7 linked regions of the Kluyveromyces lactis genome follow. The main gene of each other region encodes a partner of the protein of the gene in region 7 in a complex. Links are inferred from orthologs where the notes say so. Each region holds a gene or a part of one and is shown on either strand. Other genes may lie near its edges. The genes, in order: YSH1, PAP1, CFT1, SSU72, YTH1, SWD2 and FIP1.

The links.
Region 1: FIP1 (region 7) and YSH1 share a complex: the UniProt entries of both Saccharomyces cerevisiae proteins name them as parts of the cleavage and polyadenylation factor (CPF) complex. The link is inferred for Kluyveromyces lactis from reciprocal best matches to the Saccharomyces cerevisiae genes FIP1 and YSH1.
Region 2: the proteins of FIP1 (region 7) and PAP1 are in contact, whole or in part, in a crystal structure (PDB 3C66), measured with the Saccharomyces cerevisiae proteins. The link is inferred for Kluyveromyces lactis from reciprocal best matches to the Saccharomyces cerevisiae genes FIP1 and PAP1. Residues at the interface, in NP_012626.1 of Saccharomyces cerevisiae: Leu81, Glu82, Val83, Ile84, Ile85, Ser86, Leu87, Thr92, Arg93, Leu94, Asp95, Ala96, Lys97, Leu99; in NP_012927.3 of Saccharomyces cerevisiae: Phe360, Leu362, Gln425, Asp426, Tyr428, Phe470, Lys478, Val479, Asp480, Ile481, His482, Cys485, Thr486, Val489, Asn490, His502, Asn506, Leu507, Ala508, Leu509, Arg510, Phe511.
Region 3: FIP1 (region 7) and CFT1 share a complex: the UniProt entries of both Saccharomyces cerevisiae proteins name them as parts of the cleavage and polyadenylation factor (CPF) complex. The link is inferred for Kluyveromyces lactis from reciprocal best matches to the Saccharomyces cerevisiae genes FIP1 and CFT1.
Region 4: FIP1 (region 7) and SSU72 share a complex: the UniProt entries of both Saccharomyces cerevisiae proteins name them as parts of the cleavage and polyadenylation factor (CPF) complex. The link is inferred for Kluyveromyces lactis from reciprocal best matches to the Saccharomyces cerevisiae genes FIP1 and SSU72.
Region 5: FIP1 (region 7) and YTH1 share a complex: the UniProt entries of both Saccharomyces cerevisiae proteins name them as parts of the cleavage and polyadenylation factor (CPF) complex. The link is inferred for Kluyveromyces lactis from reciprocal best matches to the Saccharomyces cerevisiae genes FIP1 and YTH1.
Region 6: FIP1 (region 7) and SWD2 share a complex: the UniProt entries of both Saccharomyces cerevisiae proteins name them as parts of the cleavage and polyadenylation factor (CPF) complex. The link is inferred for Kluyveromyces lactis from reciprocal best matches to the Saccharomyces cerevisiae genes FIP1 and SWD2.

The regions. Positions count from the first base shown.
Region 1 is NC_006039.1:419,091-423,103, forward strand, and holds YSH1 (cleavage polyadenylation factor subunit YSH1), read right to left. Parts: upstream 2,796-4,013; coding exon 501-2,795; downstream 1-500. Other genes in the region: KLLA0_C04620g (uncharacterized protein), read right to left, coding at 3,615-4,013. UniProt on the Saccharomyces cerevisiae protein: Component of the cleavage and polyadenylation factor (CPF) complex, which plays a key role in polyadenylation-dependent pre-mRNA 3'-end formation and cooperates with cleavage factors including the CFIA complex and NAB4/CFIB. Has endonuclease activity.
Region 2 is NC_006038.1:1,161,642-1,165,271, reverse strand, and holds PAP1 (polynucleotide adenylyltransferase PAP1), read left to right. Parts: upstream 1-1,333; coding exon 1,334-3,130; downstream 3,131-3,630. UniProt on the Saccharomyces cerevisiae protein: Polymerase component of the cleavage and polyadenylation factor (CPF) complex, which plays a key role in polyadenylation-dependent pre-mRNA 3'-end formation and cooperates with cleavage factors including the CFIA complex and NAB4/CFIB.
Region 3 is NC_006039.1:880,506-884,715, forward strand, and holds the start of CFT1 (cleavage/polyadenylation factor CFT1), read right to left. Parts: upstream 2,801-4,210; coding exon 1-2,800. Other genes in the region: PRO1 (glutamate 5-kinase), read left to right, coding at 3,139-4,210. UniProt on the Saccharomyces cerevisiae protein: RNA-binding component of the cleavage and polyadenylation factor (CPF) complex, which plays a key role in polyadenylation-dependent pre-mRNA 3'-end formation and cooperates with cleavage factors including the CFIA complex and NAB4/CFIB.
Region 4 is NC_006040.1:1,644,774-1,647,107, reverse strand, and holds SSU72 (RNA polymerase II subunit A C-terminal domain phosphatase), read left to right. Parts: upstream 1-1,210; coding exon 1,211-1,834; downstream 1,835-2,334. Other genes in the region: cysteine protease ATG4, read left to right, coding at 1-778; GUD1 (guanine deaminase), read right to left, coding at 1,915-2,334. UniProt on the Saccharomyces cerevisiae protein: Component of the cleavage and polyadenylation factor (CPF) complex, which plays a key role in polyadenylation-dependent pre-mRNA 3'-end formation and cooperates with cleavage factors including the CFIA complex and NAB4/CFIB.
Region 5 is NC_006042.1:760,786-763,097, reverse strand, and holds YTH1 (cleavage polyadenylation factor RNA-binding subunit YTH1), read right to left. Parts: upstream 1,134-2,312; coding exon 501-1,133; downstream 1-500. Other genes in the region: FUN14 (Fun14p), read right to left, coding at 1,350-1,856. UniProt on the Saccharomyces cerevisiae protein: RNA-binding component of the cleavage and polyadenylation factor (CPF) complex, which plays a key role in polyadenylation-dependent pre-mRNA 3'-end formation and cooperates with cleavage factors including the CFIA complex and NAB4/CFIB.
Region 6 is NC_006041.1:1,606,952-1,609,851, forward strand, and holds SWD2 (WD-repeat containing protein SWD2), read left to right. Parts: upstream 1-1,419; coding exon 1,420-2,400; downstream 2,401-2,900. Other genes in the region: MND2 (Mnd2p), read right to left, coding at 1-459; MCO12 (Mco12p), read right to left, coding at 778-1,029, 1,146-1,151; ATP-dependent 5'-3' DNA helicase HCS1, read right to left, coding at 2,382-2,900. UniProt on the Saccharomyces cerevisiae protein: The COMPASS (Set1C) complex specifically mono-, di- and trimethylates histone H3 to form H3K4me1/2/3, which subsequently plays a role in telomere length maintenance and transcription elongation regulation. Involved in mediating RNA polymerase II termination.
Region 7 is NC_006041.1:534,354-537,142, reverse strand, and holds FIP1 (cleavage polyadenylation factor subunit FIP1), read right to left. Parts: upstream 1,389-2,789; coding exon 501-1,388; downstream 1-500. Other genes in the region: BUD4 (Bud4p), read left to right, coding at 1-287; transcription factor IME1, read right to left, coding at 2,286-2,789. UniProt on the Saccharomyces cerevisiae protein: Polymerase-regulating component of the cleavage and polyadenylation factor (CPF) complex, which plays a key role in polyadenylation-dependent pre-mRNA 3'-end formation and cooperates with cleavage factors including the CFIA complex and NAB4/CFIB.

The sequences.
Region 1 (4,013 bases), on a different chromosome or scaffold from region 7:
ATAGTTGAGACCCATTTAGCCTGTTTTACAGCTCTTGTACGTTCAGACTCTGGATGAGATGAGATGAGCTTCCCAAAAATTTTCTTGAGGTGCAAAAAGAAACTACACAGGCAAAAGGATTTATGAGTCACGTGATTGAGTTATCTTGTCTCTTCTGGATTGGCAATGTGAATGAAATACCTCACTGTAGCTCTGATTTTGCCATGGTATTGGTAGATTGATTTAAAATTTACTGTTATAATGAGAATATATATATATATATCGCGTTTAGTAGTTTAGTAAATGGTTTTTTGTCCTCTTGGTGTCTTTTGTAACTTGTCGAAAACGATATGTTCATTCAGTTAATTGAAACTTGAATGCATCTTTAAAGTTTTAATAGATTATTTAGTACAGAGGAACACCTTGGCAAGATGGCAGTATAGGGTTGAAAAGTATATAGTTAATGCAAAAAGATGATTAATGACTAGCTCATATATAATCATATCTATATATGAGACAGATTAACACAATGGGGCCACCAAGTCGGAGCCAATTTTTAATAAACTCTCTATTCTACCTTTCAATGGATTAGAGTTACATTCTTCCACAACCATTTTTGAGAAGTTTATACATGCTGTTGTTTTTCCTAAGTTGATAGTGCCTTTTATTTCTTCTTTGGAGTCTTCCTCATTCAAAAATAATGTAAAAGTATCACCAAACTGTTCCTTGAAAACTCTCGATATGTTCTTAATTTTAGTCGTGTGATCATCGTGTCCATGATGATGTCCACATGACTTCGAACTCATTTTGATACTTGCTGGAGCGCTCTCGACACTCAGTAGAATTGCCATGACACTATCCGCGACTGAATCACTGATAACATTCTGAGTCCATTGCAATGTAGCTACATTGTCAACTATATTTAATATTACATCTCCCATGATTTTTATTTCTAGTTCACCCTTCTTTATCTTCCTCGTCTTGAATTCGGGATTGATGTTCTTCAATGAGACGTTTTCTTCGTCAATGTATACATCTACGTCACCAAACATTTGGCAGATATGCCAATATACTAGTTCGCTTTTACAGTCCAAGTGGACTGTCTGTCTTTCTGTCAAAACTGTAGTAGATAATTGTTGATAATGTTCTCTTAAATCTGAAAGCGAAACTAAACTTAGATCAAAATTCTTCTCATCTGACACCAATATACCTGAAACTATTTTCTCATTTTCTTCTTTGACAATTTCCGTTTTACTTTCCTCTGTTTCTGGATCCTCTTCATGGATTTCCGTGATTCTTTTCTCATTCTTTAGTGCGTCTTCTTCAGTTATAAACTCATCGAGATCTTCAATAATTTTCCCAACTGCCCTGGCAACCTTAACATCCTTGAACTCAATATCAACAAAGACACAATTTCTAGGATTGAAAACATGAACCTCGTTTTCAGTATCCTTGAGAGAGCTGAAATTAGAAAGAAGGGCTGATTTTAAACGACCCATTGGGTTGGATTCGCCATGAACTAAAATGATGTTGCTAGCTCCAATTAGCTCGATAAATTCTAAATTTTCCCTAAAGTCAACATGAGCAGCGAATGTTATTTCATCCACTTGGCAACGTCTTGGGATAGTTATCTCAGGGTTGTGTACCGAGGGAATAGCCTCAGGTTCTAGTAACAAATATTTTGCCATTGTACCTTCTACAGAATAACCAGTGACAAGAACCAGATTTTTTTCTTCTGGACACCATTTTTCTAAAATGTCTCTAGATAGACCGTTTTGCAACATACCTGGGGATGCTAACATGACACTGGGACCAAAATCCTCGAATTCATCCAAATTCTTGAGGTAAGAAATATTCTTGAAGATGAATGGATTTGTTTGAGAATCTTTGAATTTTTTACGAATATCGTCATTCATCATATTAACATATGTCTGAAAGACACTCATACATTTCTTAGCAAGATTTGATGCGTAAAAGATAGGTACTTGCCCGTTTCCGAGTTCTTCTTTGTGATTCTGCCAATATTCGTCTAATATAAGCATGATTTCTTGAGCTCTTCCAAGGGCAAACACCGGTAAAAGAACACGTCCTCCCTTAGATACCACGGTATGTATTAACTGGGTCAACTTTCTTTCCCTGTTTTGTCTTGGTTCGTGAGTAGCGGTACCAAATGTACTTTCCACAATTATGACGTCCGAAGACTGAGGTGGTACCTCAGCAGAGTTAAGGTGACGGTCCACTTCTCTTGAATAATCACCAGTAAATAATACACGAACACCAGCGATTTCAATTTGAAACATCGCTGCTCCAAGAACATGACCTGCATGGAACGCTGTAAATTTAATACCATTTACCTCCATAGTGGAATGATAGTCAATAGTTTCTATCCTATCAAAGGACTCAGCCAAGTCCTCATCAGAGTATAAATTATCATTACTTGAATCCTGTCCTGGACTGTCTCCTATGCTGGTCACCTTGACGAAATCATTCAAAAGCCAACGATATATAGCTTTGGTCGGATGTGTCATGAATACTCTACCACGAAAATTCGTTCGTTGCATCACATAAGGCAATGATGCCGCGTGGTCAAGATGAAAATGTGAGATTAAAAGAAGATCGATTGTGGAGAGATCGAATTCATCGTAATAGGGCAATGAAGCTAAACCTTGATGGGCCGGATGGATACCTGCATCTAACATTAGAGTCTTGCCCTTATACTGAAGTATATGACACGATCTCCCCACTTCATTGGATCCTCCTAGTGAGAAAAAGCGAAGATGGTCCTTGTCTGGAACCTCATTTTCCAATTGAGTCATTTCTTGACAATGCAAAGGACAGACAAAATGCTCTCACAAACACGTCAAAAGTTACTGTCTGCTTGAGCCCCCCGATATCTGTTATGAGTGCCCGAATACCAACAGAGGTTGCTCGGTAACCATTGGACAGGACACTCTTCTTTATGTTGAATTGCTAAGATTTTCAATAAACGTTAACTGGTTTTAATGTCTTACAGAAAAAAGTGAGAAAAAAGTGAGAAACTAGGAAATAGCATATTGGTGTACAGAGGGAGTAGAGGTAGATATTGATAACGAAAAGTTAGTAAAGAGAGGGCTGAAGGCAACCTAAGATGATTTGAGAACACATCTTGATAACAAATGTCGTTACGTACTGTTTCTAGTGAGAATCTTGCTGCTTGTCGGGTTCTAACACCTATCTTAAACTGATTGTTTTCCCTTACTATGTAGATGTTGAAATAATAATATGTAGAATTTCTGATCGACAATATATCAGAATGAAACAAAGGGTAAAGGGAACAGGATAGGTCACGTGACTAGATTTATTTACTTGGATCAGGTCACATCTGGCTAAATTACTGCAAGTGTGTTGGTAAAATGGAATGAAACGAATTAAACTGCAGAATGTATGTAAACACAAATTTTTTTGCTAGATATATATTACAACTAAAAACGAGTGAATACTCTTTGAATTAAAAGGAAAGAGTAGAATGAAAACGAAATGTTGTGGAATGACGGAAACATAAGACATTAACACTTAGTATGAAAAATGGTTGTATTTTTTTCTTTAATTACGGGGAATATCCTCTGTAGAGGTGTTCAACGTTTGAATTGAAGGCTTCAAGTGAGGAATCCATAATCGTCGTTAACGGTCCAAAATTCTTCAACGGGAACTGACAACATAGCTTCCAATTGCTGTTGTTGTTGCTGTTGCGGTGGTCTTTGACCTTGCTGATTATCTGGTTGATTGAAGTTCATATTCATGTTGGTAAATGAAGAGTTTCTCCAATTCAGGGAGTTATTCAGAGTGCCAGGATTGTTGTCTCGATTGGGCATGACAAAAGTCTTTTGATCATTTGTTGTCGCTGATGATTGTAAAGATCCGTTTAGGTTGCCCATATTGTTGCCTCCATTCAGTGGATCTACGTAATGATTACTGTTCATCAAATCCAAAACCGAGTCGTTGGTCCATGTGGAGATGTTGTTGATCATCGTATGGGTACCATTATTGAAGATTAT
Region 2 (3,630 bases), on a different chromosome or scaffold from region 7:
AATCATCAAATATCTTGATTCTTCCATATCTGGATTTTCGTTTATATATATGCATATACTTCCAATTGAATTATTGTTGGATAAGATTTACAGGAAATTGAACATACAATTTGCAAATTCAAGCTCGCTCATTCTTATGATTGGGGTCTTTCACGTAATTATTGATTTTTCCTGGGTCTTGAAATCGATTTTGAATTTTTCTGGCTTTAAAAATTTAGTACAAAATGAAATAATATAACAAAGTGTGAACTTTTGAACTTACTATACCTTTTATTTGGTTTGAGTGTGTGAACAGGAGAAGCTAAAGTTAAAACCAACACTACATATCCCTTTGGTCCAAACTTGCCAGTACCTTCAAATTGAACTTCTTAATTCTTTCATTCGCTGGACACTCCTGAGACAGAATTGGTAAAGGAAAGAAATAAAGGGAAACGGAATTCTCAGACAATACAATATTAACTGGCTGATTTTTTTGTCTACACACATATACACACAGTCTCTCTCTATCTGAATATAACTGGATAGTTTGTGCTAGTTACGTTTTTAGTTCAAATTAGTGACGAGCACATCTTTTGATATTGGTCACCTGTTACCAACAACAACAACAACAAAAGAAGTTAGTGTCAGACTCACAAATACTGAAAAAAGCCTTTGCATTGGAACTTTGGTGTATTAACTCTCGGAGATTATACACATCCGACACTTATTTGATTATCCTCATCACGAATTAACTTGTGAGGAGTACTTTTGACGGTTCTTTCTGATCTAGGAAGACGTAGCAAGTCAAAACTCATTCAGGTTGTCGACTTCAGTACAAGACGCACAGGTTTTCAAGGACACTTACGATAATTCAAGGACGGTGATTGGCGACCAGTTGAATTCAATAAGCTCGGATCTTGCAGGGCTCAAGGTTTCCGGTTGTGATATCACTTCTGAGGTAGTACTAGGTGCAGTAGGGCTAATAGAAGAAGAAGAGGAAGGGGGAAAAAGTTCAGAATCTGATAGTGTAGGATCATCTCCCTCCAGACAAAGAAACCGGCATTTAAATCTCAATACAAGCCGAAACACATATCAGCATCATTTGCAACATCACCACCATTATAATCAAAGACAGCAGCATCAGCAACAATATTTCAATCAGCCAGGGCTACATTACGTTTATTATTCACCGGCTAACTCACCAACATCGTCTCCAATCTCAAAGAAGTTTCAGAACTACATTCCAAGAAGACAATCCGCGGACAGCCTTTTAAATACCGGGGGAAGTGATTATCTGGATAGAGCAAGGAATAGAAATATACCAGATTACAGAAACAAATATTATCCCAATACAATGTCCCAGAAAAAGATCTTTGGTGTAACGGGCCCGATTTCCACGGAGGGTCCCACTGCTGCCGAAAACGCATTAAACGATTCATTAATTCAACAGCTTAAGAAAGAAGGCTCTTTCGAAACGGAGGAAGAAACTGGGAAGAGAGTGGCAGTATTAGAAATCTTCCAAAAATTGACACAAGAGTTTGTATATCAGGTTTCAAAGAAGAAAAACATGTCCGATGGTATGGCTCGTGATGCTGGTGGTAAAGTATTTACCTTTGGTTCTTATAGATTAGGGGTCCATGGTCCAGGTTCCGATATTGATACGTTGATTGTGGTACCTAAACATGTATCCAGAGAAGATTTCTTTACCGTATTCGATGCTCTGTTGAGGGAAAGACCAGAACTTGAAGAAATTGCGTCAGTTCCAGATGCTTTCGTCCCAATTATCAAGATCAAATTCAATGGAATCTCCATCGATTTAATCTTTGCTAAACTAGATTTACCCCAGGTTCCAATAAGTTTAACTTTAAGTGATAAGAATTTGTTAAGGAACGTTGATGAAAAGGATCTAAGAGCGTTGAACGGTACCAGAGTCACCGATGAAATTTTAGAATTAGTGCCTAATAAAACATCTTTCAAGATTGCATTAAGAGCTATTAAGATATGGGCAAAGAGAAGAGCAGTATATGCAAACGTCTTTGGGTTCCCCGGTGGTGTCGCATGGGCGATGTTTGTGGTAAGAATCTGCCAATTGTACCCTAATGCATGCAGTGCGGTAATAATATCAAAATTCTTTCAGATTTTATCACGTTGGAAATGGCCACAACCTGTCCTATTGAAGCCAATCGAAGATGGTCCTTTACAGGTCCGCGTGTGGAACCCCAAAATATATGCACAGGATAGATCCCACAAGATGCCTGTGATTACACCAGCGTACCCTTCAATGTGTGCTACCCACAACATCAGTGAGTCAACTAAGAAAGTGATCTTATCTGAATTACAAAGAGGTGTAGAGGTCACACAAAAGATTTTCTCTAATGAACTATCATGGGAAGATTTGTTCAAGAAACACGATTTCTTCTTCAAGTATAAATTCTACCTAACGGTTATGGTCTCAACAAAGGGTTCCGACGAACAACACTTGAAATGGAGTGGATTCGTTGAAAGTAAGCTCAGATTGTTGGTCCAAAAACTAGAAGTTTTACCAGGAATCAATCTGGCGCATCCATTTATTGAACCATACGAGTCCAGCTATATATACAATAATGAGGATGAATATAAAGAGATCATGAACAACTACGGTACACATAAGACAGAAGGTGTATTGAAAAAGTTTACAAAAATAACTGATGCAAACAAAGACGATGAAGCCTCCAAAAACTCTAATCAAGTTCACATAGCCACGATGTTTATTGGACTTGACATCAACACAGAAGAGAGTAAAAAAATTGATATACACATTCCATGTCAAGAATTTTTCAATTTGTGTCGCTCATTACCCGACTATGAGGACCCTGAAACGTATTCTTTAATCATCAAGTATGTGAAAGTGCATGACTTACCGGATGAAGTCTACCAAGAGGGGGAAACACGTCCTGTGAAATCCAGCAAGAAGAGGAAACCGGAGAAAAGTGGTGAAAAGAGTAAAAGACCTAAATCCGATCCGTCCAATGGCAAGTCTACTACTACTACCAGTGGCAACACCAATTCTTCTTCCCCAGTAAATGACGCTAATTCCACTCCATCATCAAATGTCCCAGCAAACAGTAATACCAATGCTATCACCGAAGACCCAATGACTGCGACAACATAGAAAGTCTTACGATCCGTTCATACTACCTCTTCAGGGTTCGCATAATGCATCATGGCCAAGGCAACGTGAGTCTCCCCTCAAGCCTTAGCCCCAGTCATTAACAAAAGTTTCTCTACATTGAACGCGACACATAAACTCAACTTTCCCACTAGATAAACTAAGTAAAAAAAAAAAAACGTCTCATATCACAGAAAAGAACAGATCATTACTATAATAGTGAAGCTGTCCGCCACATACCCCATTGTTTTGCATAAACCTACCATCTCTAATCTGAATATTTTTGTTCTATCATCAAATATGTTTAACTGGTACTTATTTTTAGTCAGCTATGTGCCTTATCTTGATACATAATTGACAGATGCGGACAAAAAGAGTCAAAGGAAAACCACAAGAGATAGAAGGTTAGCCAGTTAGACACTGATAAAATCCGAGAAAACAAGACGTTACCGATACCCGAACAGTATCATCTGGTTCAGCCGCTGTTGATTCAACAGGCAAGT
Region 3 (4,210 bases), on a different chromosome or scaffold from region 7:
TATACCCAGTACTATTTGGTTTGCTTGGATCGTAACCTACAAGGGGCTCACCATCTTCACTTAGAGCTTGATATTCGATGAATTTGGTATAGGAGATGATATACATTCCGGTCCGTTCATGGTACGCAATATTTCCTAAAGTTTCAAATTCCTCAACAACATCTTCAATAATGATTTTTCTAAGAATCTGAGTATTCCCATAATAACATTCAGGATCTAATTTCATTACTCTTGCATTTTTAATATTATCTACGCACATCACAGAGTTTTTACCCCACCTAGCCATTGTGACAATAGGTATATTAGTCATCCGGAATATCCGACATACCGAATTATCTTCTTTGATTATGATATATGGTACTTGACCAGTAATAAATACTACTGAATATCCATTGTAGTTAGGGAAGTAATGAGCAACCCTTTCTATTTTATTAACTCCTTGAGGGTATGCATTGTTAGGAGCACCGGTAATTAGAGGATGGGATTTACATTTTAAGAGTTTACCGCTGTGCTTTGTCGACTTCTTGTACTGATAGATCTCCCCACCAAACGTAAGAATAGTTAGAAATTCTTCTTTCTTATGATGGCCCAATCTGTTTAACATGATTTGCTTTATTGATGGGTCCGGGTTCATTTCTTCAGGAATCTGATACGTACTTATAAAAAGCATGTCTTCTAGCTGATCGACACCATTTAACTGAAATATCCTGTCATTGTGCTTTTCGGTAAAGAAAATAACCTGATTGTCGCCCGTTACAAATGTGAAGAGAAGCTGTTCTTGTGAAGAGTTTTCCAATCCATGTAGGAATTTGTTGCAAATGTTACTCTTGAAAATGGAACCAGATGTGATGATAATTTCATTGAGAGCCTCTGGAAGCTTAAATTTGATGAATTTTTTTTTATTTTTAGAGTCTAGTTGATAAATTTTGATGTTACCTCTAGCATCCGTGAATAGAATATATGGATCAATAATACACGCATGAACAATTTCGATATCAATAGTTAATCTTGCTAACCTCTTAAAGTCAACATCAAATAGATATAATCCTCCTGAAGTTACCTGTAAAATACGTTTATCGTCGTCCATAGTTTCCATGCCGATGGTTCTGCTGTCTTTTCTAAAATCTTGCGCCCTAAAAGGTTCAAAATTTCTATCAATCTGATATACATCACTTTTCTCTTTATCAGCGTCTGTAGTCACAAGATACTTGTCTTTTCCCTTTATTTTCAAATTCCAGATACGGGTCGCACTTGTGAATTTTAAGGCTTGTTCTATGTGGGGCTGGACAGTGGAATGCAATGCAGTGAGGTGAGATCCCCTCCCAACTCCAGATGTAGCTACAATTGAGAATTCATCTTTGTTAGGATTGGGAAGTCTCTGAATAGTTGGTTCAACAGATGCGACCTTACCAATAGTAAGAGATGTTAGAGGACCGATATTGAAAATGGAGTCCAACAATGATATATCGAAAGGCTCTTGTGTTTCGACGATTCTGGTGTGAGTATTATTTTGAGACTCTCCATAAAGTGCACTGTATTCATCGTCATCGTCATCAACAGTTTCAACAAGTTGTCGTTTTGCTGCAAATGCCACTTTCAAGTTTTTAAGTTGCAGAAACATTGCATCACCTGAGAGAAAACCTATAAGAACTCTGCCAGTTTCTAAGTTGAGATCACCACATACCGACAACGGCAATCTTGAATTTTTGAAGATCTCGTTAACAATCGGTACTTGTACACAGTCAAATTTGGTAAGTAGATTACCCTCTGATTCTGTAATAATGTTGTACATCCTGCAGTTTTCATCTATCAAAATAAGCAAATCATGTCTTTTCAAAGCTTTATAGAAATATATTGAACTCTTTGATAGAAAGATATTCATGTCAGAATTATCAGTTATCCTTGTATTGATTGAAGACGTTGCAAATGTGTTCAATCGTATGCACGATTGTAGTGCACCAGATGCACTGATATATAATAATTCATTGACACCAATCAACACATATCCCCTCTTCAGTGGAACCAAGGTGTGCAGGTCGTTCGGAAGATCTGCAAGCTCAGCAATCACGGTGGTTTTTTCATCTTCGACATCTAAACTCAAAACCATGTACCTCATAGTATTTCCAAGTACTTTTTCATTTCCACACCACGCAAGTACCGGTTGATATAATATTCCCACAGTTGGCTTGCTGAAATTATTTAACCATTTTATATCATAGACATGCTTGAGACTCTTGTGAAGGCTAGAAATTGGCATTATTATACTATCGGATGTGATTCCTTGGTTCCTTTTTAAGCGTTTAGCCATTGGCTCTTTTATTCCGTTCTCATCCTCATCAATTTCCATATCTTCTGTGTTCAGTTTCAATGGCAATATAGCTAAAACATCTTCATTAAAAACCAGAAGACATCTAAACAATGGATCCACTGCCATAATGGACTCCGTCTTCAAAGAAGAAGTGCTTAAATTGACAAATTTGTCGTGATAATAATGCAGACTTAGTGTTTCAAGACTCTCTGCCACTGGGTCAAACCTTACCAACGATACTTTGGATTTCGACGAAAGTATTGCAAGCATCTTAAGAGGCGATCCAATTTGGGGCAGTAATTGCATATCTATGATTTTACCTGCTAGTTTCCATTCATATGCAAGTACAAGCTTTTGTGCTCGCGAGACCCTGAATACAGAGAGAACATTGGTTCTTGCAACAACGTATTCTTCCCTTTCCGCTGACGTAAAATTCCCATGTAAGCATTTATTAACCACAGTGGGTTGCAATATCTCGTCAAAAACGTTCATTTATTATCTATCCCCGATATTTAAACGTTTCAGATTCAGGTGTGACTGAAGAGTGCTAGTATGCCCACCTACGCTCGTCTGTTTCCAGTGTTCTTAGTAATGATAGTTACCTATATTTTGAAGAACCGGTGAATATTTAAAAATTCACAGAAACTGAAAGTAAATGTTTCGATGACATCTGCAGACCATTTGAAAAGATGAATAACTGCATCTGCAAAACAGATATAAACATAGTGTACTGTCTGTGAGCAGCAGCTATTAGTCAATCTGGCCTGAAATTTCTGTAACCAAAGGTTTCTACGGACCGCGAGAAGAAGAACGTTTTCCAACAAGTTCAGATGGTAAAGCAGTTCGTCATAGTCATAAAATTGGGATCTTCATCACTAGTTGATGAAGAGACCAAAGAACCAAAACTTTCTATCATGTCATTGATTGTGGAGACTGTGGTAAAGTTACGCAGAAGAGGACACAAAGTTATCATTGTATCTAGTGGAGGTATCGCCGTCGGATTGAAAACGATGAATATGAAGGGAAGGCCAAAGAAACTATCCAAGGTGCAAGCAATCGCAGCTGTGGGCCAAGGCAGATTAATTGGGAGGTGGGATTCCTTGTTCTCTGAATTTGATCAGAGAATTGCTCAAATCCTAATTACTCGAAATGACATTGTTGATTGGACTCAGTATAAGAATGCACAGAATACTATTAGTGAATTACTTTCCATGGGAGTAGTGCCAATCGTTAATGAGAATGACACTTTATCTGTGAGCGAAATCAAATTTGGTGATAATGATACATTATCAGCTATCACAGCAGCGTTGACTGGTGCTGATTATCTATTTTTATTGACAGATGTTGACTGTTTATACACTGATAATCCAAGAGCAAATCCCGATGCAAAACCTATCTTGGTTGTTCCAGATATATCACAAGGATTGCCAGGTGTGAACACAGACGGTGGATCTGGATCAGATGTTGGAACTGGTGGTATGAAGACTAAGCTTATTGCGGCAGAATTAGCAACCAATGCTGGTGTCCATACCATCATTATGAAGAGCGACACTCCAGAAAACATTTCCAAAATTGTTCTCTACATGCAGGAAAGGGACGATGGCGTGAATGAACTTACACAAGATTTGGCTGACCTACAACTCACTGAGATGCAAAGTTTAGTTAATAATCATGTTCCTCTTCATACTAGGTTTATTGCCAATAGTAATCATCATCACTTGAAGAACAGACAATTCTGGATGCTTCATGGACTCGTCAGTCAAGGCGCTGTAATTATAGACATTGGTGCATACGAAGCGTTAACGAGGAAAAACAAAGCTGGTTTGTTACCTGCAGGCGTTATTGAAGTCCAAGGGAGCTTCCATGAACATGAATGTATAGATATAAAATTGGGAGTCAGGG
Region 4 (2,334 bases), on a different chromosome or scaffold from region 7:
GCCAAGCGCAACAGCCAGAAGCATAAAAACATTGATTGAAGGGTTTCCCCTTTGTGGAATTAAGAATTGTATAATTTCAACTCAGTCGGCAGATATATACGAAGATGAGGTCACAAGAATTTTTCATAAGGATAGGGATGCTAATTTACTTCTGCTGTTTGCTGTCAGGTTGGGTGTTGACAAAATCAACAGCTTATACTGGAAAGACATATTCAAGATTCTCTCATCACCATATTCTGTCGGGATCGCAGGCGGTAAACCCTCGTCATCATTATACTTTTTTGGATATCAAAATGAAAATCTTTTCTACCTTGATCCACACAACACTCAGCAATCTTCTTTAATGATGGATGATCTTGAATTTTACCGAAGTTGTCACGGACACAAATTCAACAAATTGCATATATCAGAAACAGATCCGTCAATGTTACTCGGTATGTTAATTTCAGGTAAGAATGAATGGGATCAGTTTCATACTTATTTCAGAGATAGTCAAATTATTCAATTTTTGACAACCAGGCCAGAAAATGATTTATATCAAAGTGCCAATATGTCTGTCGGTTCTGATTCTATTCACTCATTGGAGTCAGACATACAGGACACTGGAGAATACGTTGATGTTGGAACATTAGTTTCTGGCAAACAAATGTCCTCCCCGCAACCAAAAGATGAAGAATTTGAAGATGTTAAATGCAAAAGCCAGCGAATAATCGTCTGCGAAGATCCAGCTGATCCTGAAGTTGAACAAGTTCTTGTCGAGGATTCATCCTCCTGCTGACTGCTGTATCTTCCTCATTCTTTGTTTAAGATATTATATTAAATATTAGTATCATTATATAATATGGATCCTTCGGCTGTCAAGCACCTAATTCAGCCACAAATAAGGACAGGCTTTGGTAATCGGGTGTAACGGAAGTGACCTTGAACTTATACTAATTACCAATCTATAATTCTATTAAGATTATTACAAGCGTCGCATTTCCGGGTAATATTATTATCTAGCTGCACATTGATAAAATTGACTTTGTTAAGAGCTTCAATGAAAGTTACAAGATATTCATAATTGGTAACCGAAATGGTAGACAGCCCATACTTGCATTTCATATTCAATTATTATAACTCTCATTTTCATACAGTGTTGTCTGCTTAGTGCTACCAGAATAGATAATTTGACTAAAAGTTATTACGAATCTAAGAGGAACTATTAGGCATGAGCGAATCAATGAGAAATAGCGGGCTTAAGTTCTGTACTGTGTGTGCATCTAACAACAACAGGTCCATGGAGTCCCATAGGGTATTGGAAGAGGCAGGGTATGATGTTTCTAGTTACGGTACTGGAAGTGCAGTTAGACTTCCAGGTCTCTCGATAGATAAACCAAATGTGTATTCATTTGGTACGCCTTATGATGATATATATAATGACTTGATTTCTCAAAGTGAAGATAGATACAAGCAAAATGGTGTATTAGAAATGTTAGATCGTAACAGGAAGTTAAAAAAAGCTCCTGAGAAATGGCACGATGGGAGAAAGGTTTTTGATTTCGTTTTTACCTGTGAAGAAAGGTGTTTCGACTCTGTGTGCGAGGACCTGATGAATAGAGGTGGTCAGCTTAATCTAATTGCACATATTATCAATATCGATATCAAAGATGATAATGAAAACGCTAAAATTGGTGGGCGAGCAATATTAAGATTGGCAGATATGCTAAGAGATAAAGTTTTTGAATGTGAGAAAAACGGAACTCAATTTGAGGATTTTATAATGGATGTCTTCACTGAATGGCAAGAGAAATATCCAAAACTACCACTAACTTATTCTGCTGCATATTATTAGTTCTATTTCATCTTGAGTTATATATCATGCTATTCTTGTTTTGCATACTTATTTCGATGGAATTGTAAGCTAACGATTAGTTAAAGATTTTGATGGCACAATTTTCCACGGACCCAAACACTTTTAACATTCCTATCATCACCATTAAATAACCATTTTGCCACAATATTCTCCAGTTTGATTCTATCCTTCCCGTTCGGTTGAATTTTGTCGTTGGTAACTTTTTGCCATGGAAAAATGGATACGTTGCTTCCTTTGGTGGATAAATCTATCAATTGTGCGTCAAACTCTTTCCCTACGTCGAAACTACCAATTTTATCAGACAGATTTAAAACTTTAGCACCACCCATGGTAGCTAGATACAATACTTCGGCGACAGATAGTTTGCATTCCTCTTTTCTTTCAGGATCTTCTACTGACATTGCTCGATGTCTGGAAACTAGTAAAGCTTGCCTAGCATTTTCCAAAATACTGACTGTAAAACCACCGGAAACATCAGA
Region 5 (2,312 bases), on a different chromosome or scaffold from region 7:
AGGTACCGGTCGACAGCCTTGCTGTGATGCGAGACTGCCATCCCAGTAGCTGGCTAGTGCCAGTTATAGGTGTATTAGAAAACTGACTTCAAGAACTCACGCTGTTGCCTGGTGTACATTCATGCGTCCGCTCTCAGGGTTAATGCTTATCAGTATTGCAAGAAAAAAAAGAAACCGAAAGAAACTGTGGAATGGAGTGTTCTATACTGGGGAATATGTCGACCGCGTGTCCATAAATGAAACTCAGCGAATGATTTTGGCTGAGAGGTCTGATACCTATTGGATAAGCAATTTAAGGTATGTGAGCCTTGGTTCCCTTAATTTTTCAGGTGTGTTGCTTTTGCTGTCGGTTGATAGAATTATCCGGCTGTAACATTGTGTAGTATTATGTTACTTAGTATCTGTATCTGTATCGAATTACGTATGGTGAGCTGAATAGTGAATAGTGACAGCAGCAGTGGCTGAGAACGAACGCACTGATGAAAACTGAAAAAATTCAGTCACGTGACTAGGATGTCACCGTTGATAATGGCATTCAAGCGTCTTTCCCTTTCCTCATCCATCTTTCTTGTATTAATATGCTCGTCTTTCTTGATGCGCAGTTTGCTGTGTTCTGAAGGTACTTTGAATTTGGGATGCGACCAGTCGCAATCTTTACCCAGTGGACAAAACCCTACCAAGTATCTGGGGCAAAGTACCTTTTTGACATGTTTCTTCGTGCATGCAGGTCCCGATGGACAGAACCCCATATTATAATCCTCACATTCTTCTAACTGACTCTTGTGATCTACGTGCAAGTATTGACACTCCGGTGATTGTGTACAGTACCCGTTCTTGGTGAAGAATACACACTCGGGCATCTTTCTTAGGTTATACTCGTGTAAATATTCACATTGATCGTTCTTCTTGCAGAGACCTCGGAGCCAGTGCTTACAAACAATCTTGTTCTGAAATATCGGTAGCACATGCTTGTTTGGACAGCGTGCTCCGTTGGGACAGGATTTTATCCCCTCTCTTGAATTATAGTATTGGCATACCGGTCTATCTGGATCTAACGAGAACGAATATTCTTTCCGTAGAAATGGCTCGAAATTAAACTCGTACTTCGAGGTATCTGGATGAACTATACTCATTAGTTTAAACTCCCTTATCTCCTTGACAACCCAGTCTAATGTAGCCTACCAGTCGTTTATGAAAATGTCTTTGATGATTGGTAATTAATCATGTTACAAGCGAGTTACACACAATAATTATTTTACTAATTCTTAAATATAACGTTATAGGATATTCTGGGTTTTCACATGAGAAAAAGTCACGTGAACTGAATAAGGTAGCGTTCTCGGAACCAATCAGACGTTAAGTGCAGCTAGCACAAATGTCAAGATGAATGAGACTTTGAAGCTGGGTTTGTCCCAGATCAATGTGTTCAAATCAATCCTCTCACGGCCGATGGTCACAACGTATTTGGAAAGAGAACGAGTGCTGTCACTGCTGATAACTCCCCTGTTCTGCAAGAATTGTAACCCAACGAATCCAACCCCGGTGATGAACACGAGAAGACTTGATATCTTACCAAAGATAACACCGAACACTAGACCTAAAATTGACCCGTAGCACATTTGTCTGTAGTTGACTCTTCTTTGCTTCGAACTTATATCAACACGGCTTGGCAATCCAAGCTCTTGTGGTAGATTCGTTCTTTGCTTAACATCAACAATTGAATCGTTCATGATATATGAGCTTGGTTGCATCGAGTGCAACAACGATCCACCACCGACTAATAAACTACCGCTGAATCCAACATAAACACTTCTTCTTAATGGCACGCCAAGGTTTCTTGCTGCTGTTCTGAACATCTTTCCTAATTCTTTACCTATTATGTCGATTGGTCTGTCTTCACTCGAGGATATAAAACACAATTCTGAGTTGAACTAAATGAGACTGATTTCTAACCGAATTTCTTCGTTATCGAAAGATTAAATTATAAACAGTGATTTTGTCTACGAATTGTCGTTTTCTTAACTCAATAGCAATTTGCACGTACTTCTCAATATTTCTTTATATAGCCATACTGACGATGGAGCCTGCGACCCTTTTTTTTCAACCGATGTTGAAATTTAAGAATCATACAAAACCCAACATGCTGAAAAGAATAGGATTTGGGTGACAGTCATTATAAAAAAGAATATATAGAATTGTCAGTTAGAAAGTGATAAGCGGCAAGTTATCAGTCAAGTAGTACCTTTATTACTATTTTATATGTAAATTAAGGCCTCCTATTTGGGTTGGAAATCATTTGTCGTTTACTGATA
Region 6 (2,900 bases), about 1.1 Mb from region 7:
GGAAGTTTGGTAGGCATTAAGTATTGGTTCTTGCCCTGAATTGTGTTCATTTTGTTGCTTGTTCTGTTTACTTCCCTTCTCCTTTTCGATCTCTTTTAGGGTTTTATCAATGCCAATAGGTCGCAAACTTGAGTAGCCAAGAGATCTTATCAGCAATAGTGTCGATTTATCTAGAATGTTAATGGTATTGGAATCAGACACATCTCCGTCATTATTGGCAATTAAAGGTTTCTCACTATGGCAAGTATACGCCGCAAGAGGAATCAATCTCTTCCCAGGCTTGATCCGTCTCTTGGTATCTTTATCAATGTTCCAACTCACCGGTTTCCCTTTTCTGCTTGTCTTGCTTTGCAGAAGCTCTTTTCGTAGATTGTTTATCAAAGGAATGTTATTGAAATCGGATGGTGCAGAAGGTTGTCTGAAGGCATCAAGGCCATACATAAACTCTCCAAGCCCCATATCTTACTTGTAAAGCCTACTGTCTCCAAAAATATTTTGTGAACAGCCTCTTAATGTCTGTTATTGCCATTGACACAGTGGTGTTTAACAGGACACAAGTAAATCATGATTTAAAGGTTTTATTTTAAAAGAAATAGAAAAAGCATCAACAAAAATAAGGAGAGCTGTACTACTCACCAATTACCAGTAGTTAAACGCCGGCGTCTTGATGGCATTCACTCCAGTTATCTTATATTTGATATGAATTGATAGAAGACACTAAAAAGAACTGAATATTATATATTAGTATGTATGTTTGAATAAACGTTATTGGTGTAACTACAGGTTACGCTTTCTTTCCATATGATCCAAGAACTTGTCAAAAGGAGTCTGTTTCCTAAAATAAGCACTTCTTTCAGCCATGTTAGCCAACTTATCGAATAAGTATTCTCCCCAGTCAAGATACCGTTTAATATAATTCTTCAAGTCAGACATTTCATAAGCGACAACATAATTGTTACTTCTACGCAATCCAGCCAATACCATAGACAACAACGCTAAGTCAATACTGTAATGAACTATATCTTTAACCTGATTGGAATTTGATAAATGCAGTTAAGATTACCTTTTAGTTAGTAAATCAAAGTCCGTTGATGAAAACGGTGGTGTATCTAACCACCTTCTTCAAAAAAATGAACGGTACGTACACCCATGATTCTTATTACAAATCTCAAATATGTCAGTTCTTTATAAAGCCAGAGTAAGACCAGAAAGGCTCTATTTCTCTACCTGCAAGTGACTAACACTATTGATTTCTTTGACAGATGTCATTACAATTTCGAGGAACATTTAAATTTAAATAAAACTGTTAACACCATCAAGAAATATTACCAATTTGGAGACAAAAAGAGAAGCTCAACGGGACACCAGCGGTTTAGCAACAGTTCTGTGATTATCTAAAAGTTAGCTGAGAAAGGAAATATGACTGTTAGCATTTCCAAGAGCAATCTTCTACGATTTGAGCCTGTGAAGTCCTTCAGAGTTTCTGATAAAGAATTGGGACCTATAACTTCAGTGACATTTGATGACCATGGCCAGTACTTGTTGACTGCAACTGCTAGTGATAATATGCATCTATATGATGCAGTAAGTTGCAGGTTTTTGAATACCATCGCTTCTAAAAAATACGGATGTCATTCCGCAAAGTTTACACATGCGCAATCAGAATGTATCTATTCATCCACTATGAAATCGTTTGACATAAGGCATTTGAATCTTGAAACAAACACATACCTTAGATATTTCCAGGGCCATGGTGCTCTAGTGAGCGATATACAAATGTCCCCGTTGGATGATACTTTTTTGTCTGCATCGTATGACGAATCGGTAAGACTTTGGGATTTGAGAAGCTCCAAGGCACAGGCCCTTATACCAAGTTTAGTCCCCACATGCATTGCTTACGATCCAAGCGGGCTTGTGTTCGCCATTGGTAACCCTGAGAACCATGAAGTCGGTTTATATAACGTAAAACATTTGAAGGCGGGCCCATTTTTAGTTATAAATGTGGATCCAAGCTTTGATCAGTGGAATAAATTGGAGTTTTCAAACGATGGTAAATATTTGTTGCTTGCGTCGTCCGCTGGAAAACATTTGATCATGGATTCCTTCGATGGTACACAGTTATTTGAATTATCAGGAACTAAACCTTTCCCATTGAGAGAGTTCATGGATTCTGGATCCGCAACGTTCACTCCAGATGGACGCATTACATTGGGAACTGATTACACTGGGAAGATCGCGATATGGAACCACGCAGACTTCATCAGTGGTAGGACGCTCAAACCTCAAGGATTTATTAACGCCGCACCAAATACATGTCCCAGAACTATTGCATTCAATCCTAAATATAGCATGTTTGTCACTGCAGATGAAACTGTAGATTTCTACGTATATAACGAATGAATTATACTGGGATCTGGATATATGACTTCGAAGCCAGACTCTACCCAGAGCACCCATCTATTTAGGAATGGCACTCGACATCTCGATAACATTTCCATGTTACCGATGACACAAAGCTGCCTTTTAGGTCTGGTCATCGCGACATTTAATCTTCTTTCATCTTTCAAGAACCCAACCTCGAAATTCTCGTTACTTCTTACTAAAGATAGGATGATGCACTCCTTTTCTCTACCTTGAAATCCGTCTACGGTAGATATCTCAATTGCTTGATGCTTTTCATGGATGAGTTTTTTCAACAGCGATACTTGTGAATTATACGGGGAGATCACACCAATACTTTCTTCCGTAACACCAGCCTTTATCAACTGCTCAACGTGGTATAATGCCAAATATGCTTCATTTTCGTTGTATTTTGAAGAGACTAGGTGGAACTTATCGTCTGCATCGTTGTCATTTTCATCAGACCTTTCTGGAAAGTCGTCTCCCTCAGTATCTAACCA
Region 7 (2,789 bases):
CCAGAAAACCACAAACTTTGTTGAATCTTCTAAACGTAGTAGATATATACTCTGATGGTAAAACGGCAACTGGAAAACAAATGAGAAACTTTACTGATATGGTACTTTTCAGCGATTGCTTCAAACTCCTTTTTGCAAATGATGAAGTTATAAATTTTAACGCTGATTCTAATCTTTTAAAACAACAATGGGTTGAAATTTTGACCAGCGTTGTTGAACTGAATAAATTCCATCAACCATGGATCAAAAGAGTTTTTGAAAACGAACAATACAACATTACTTTTTAAACTGTTATAGTATTCAGATATATAGTTTGTCTTTGCCATTTTTTTTGAAGTATAGTATATTAATGTCATTTCTCTAATTATAACAAATGTCAACATGAGGTCTTTAAAACTAAGCTGTGTTACAATTCCATCAAGGAATCGAAAATACATGTACATGTCCGCTATATATCATTAATGTTGCTTGCAATCAATACGAGCCTCAAGCACTAAATTTCATTTCTTGTCGTTGAGATTATTATTGTTGTTGTTGTTAATGTTGTTCATGTTGTTCATGTTGTTCATGTTGTTCATGTTGTTCATGCTTGATACATTTTGATTTTGCATGTTATTCATCATACCCGGAAATGGAAATCCTGGGAAACCACCAAACATGGGGGGAAGTCCCATAGGCGGAGGAGGAGGTTGGATTGTATTCTGTACAGGTTGTCCTGAACCTGGATCATTTAACTTTCCTTGCTGCTGTAAAGCTAGGAGGTTCATCAAAATCTTTTGTGGGTTGTATTCTTTCGTCAAATGTTCTTGTCTATGTAAATATTCCATCCAAGTCTGTTCATTAAATCCATAATTGAAATAATCTGAAATATTCGCTCCTGGTTGTCTCCAGGGCTTCTCCTTTAGAATTTCTGGATCGATCTGTACTATAGGTTTCCCATCGAATTGTGCATCCGGGTTCAAATCAATAGTTTGTTGTTGCTGCTGCTGCTGTTCAGGTGGTATTGAACCCTCCTGTACAGGAACCACGTCCGATATACCAGCCACTGCTGCAATAGCATGATCCGCTGTACCAAGAGGCGTTGTGTCTGTTATAGCAGATATCTGGGACTTACCAGAATCTATCTTAGAGGTATCGTTACCAGTTCCGATGATAATCTCAACATCTGAATCTGAGTCACTGCTGTCATCCTCATCTGATGAACTATCCTGATTGGAGGCCTCACTCTCTACCTCATTCGTATTACCTTCCGGTACATCATGAGCTAGTATCTTGGGTGTTTCTTCGACCTTTTGTCTTTTCAATGCAGGACCCTCTTGCTTTGCGACTACGTTAGAATCCTCCTCATCGCTGTATAGAAACTTATCGTCTTCATCCTCACTGCTCATAACGATTCGTTTCTATATGTCGTTCGTGGACTGGTAGAAGATTTATCAATAAATGCTTGGAAAGTTTGGAAGGCTGCGCAACCCAAAAGGTATCTTAACAGGAAGATAGTTCTTCTTCTCATATAGAAATCAACTAATAGTTAACTCTCAATGCTAAGATTTACCAAAATGATGCTGTTAAATCGACGCATATCCGGGTAAATTATTGTCGTATTCAATGACAAACATTTCTAATGAATATCTGTCACCGGACAGCGGACAGCGACTCAGCTTGTTTGGACGGAATGTATAATATGGGTTAAATGTGTAGCTAATGAGAATACATGATTTACAGAAGAATTAGATGTGCATGTTGCGGACAGTATCGATTTCCGATGTTAACGAACTTGAAAGAATATGCGATGGTAAGAATTAAAGATATGGAAAAGTAACAAGGGAAACCAAAGAAAAAAGTGCATCTTATTGACGAAGCATAATACTTTGTCCTGTTTTTTCAGAGTAAAAGTGTGAATTAATTAAAAAAATTGACAGAAAACAACAGAGGAAACAAACATTACAGGCGAGTGAGTGTCTTTAATGTGTTGAAAAGAGTCAGACATTGTTGAGAATGAATGTTCAAAAAAGTCGATTGTAAACTGCAATTGAGAAGTGAATGTTCTTTTTTGAAGTGTTTATGGGACCTGTAAGGTTGACTAAACATGGTCACCTTGTGTCCGCACCCACAGAAACAAAGTAAAAAAAAAAATGGAAGGTAATTTGAAATGAAGTAGAGAATTAGAAAGGAATGAATGTAAGAAATATGATGAAGAAGGAAAAAAATATGCAGGTGTATCATACAGGCAGTCTATAGCAAAGGGGGAAAAATAATATCTGGATAAAAGGATGAGGATTGTTCCATCAAAAATACGTCTTGGAGAACTTGTAATCAATTTCTTGGAATCTAATCTTATCGAAATAATCCAAATCGTTAGAATCAGCCAAGAAATACCCAAAATAAGGTAGTAACTTGTTAGTTAGCGTGTAAACAAACTGATCCTTTTCCGAAACGACCGAATCTTTCTTTGAAGATGAAGAGGAGAACATGATGGGTGCCACCAATGCACGTTGCTGTTTTTTCTTCACTGGAGCCATGCACTGCAAGTCATTGTCCAAATCTTGCTCGTCTTCTTCCAGTAACACGTTGATACTTCTTGTAGAAGAGAAAACAGAACTGTGTCTTGTGTCAGCCAGTGAAGGTGGTGTAGAAGAAGAACAAATAATTCTCTGTTCATCTTCTTCTTCAAAACTCGTCTGTAAAAATTTCAAATTGTGAACGTGAATCAAATGGACAGGCTGAGTATGGATCATCGACGGCATATGGATGGACCTTGGCTGTAAATCGTGTCGACTGATAACATGCTT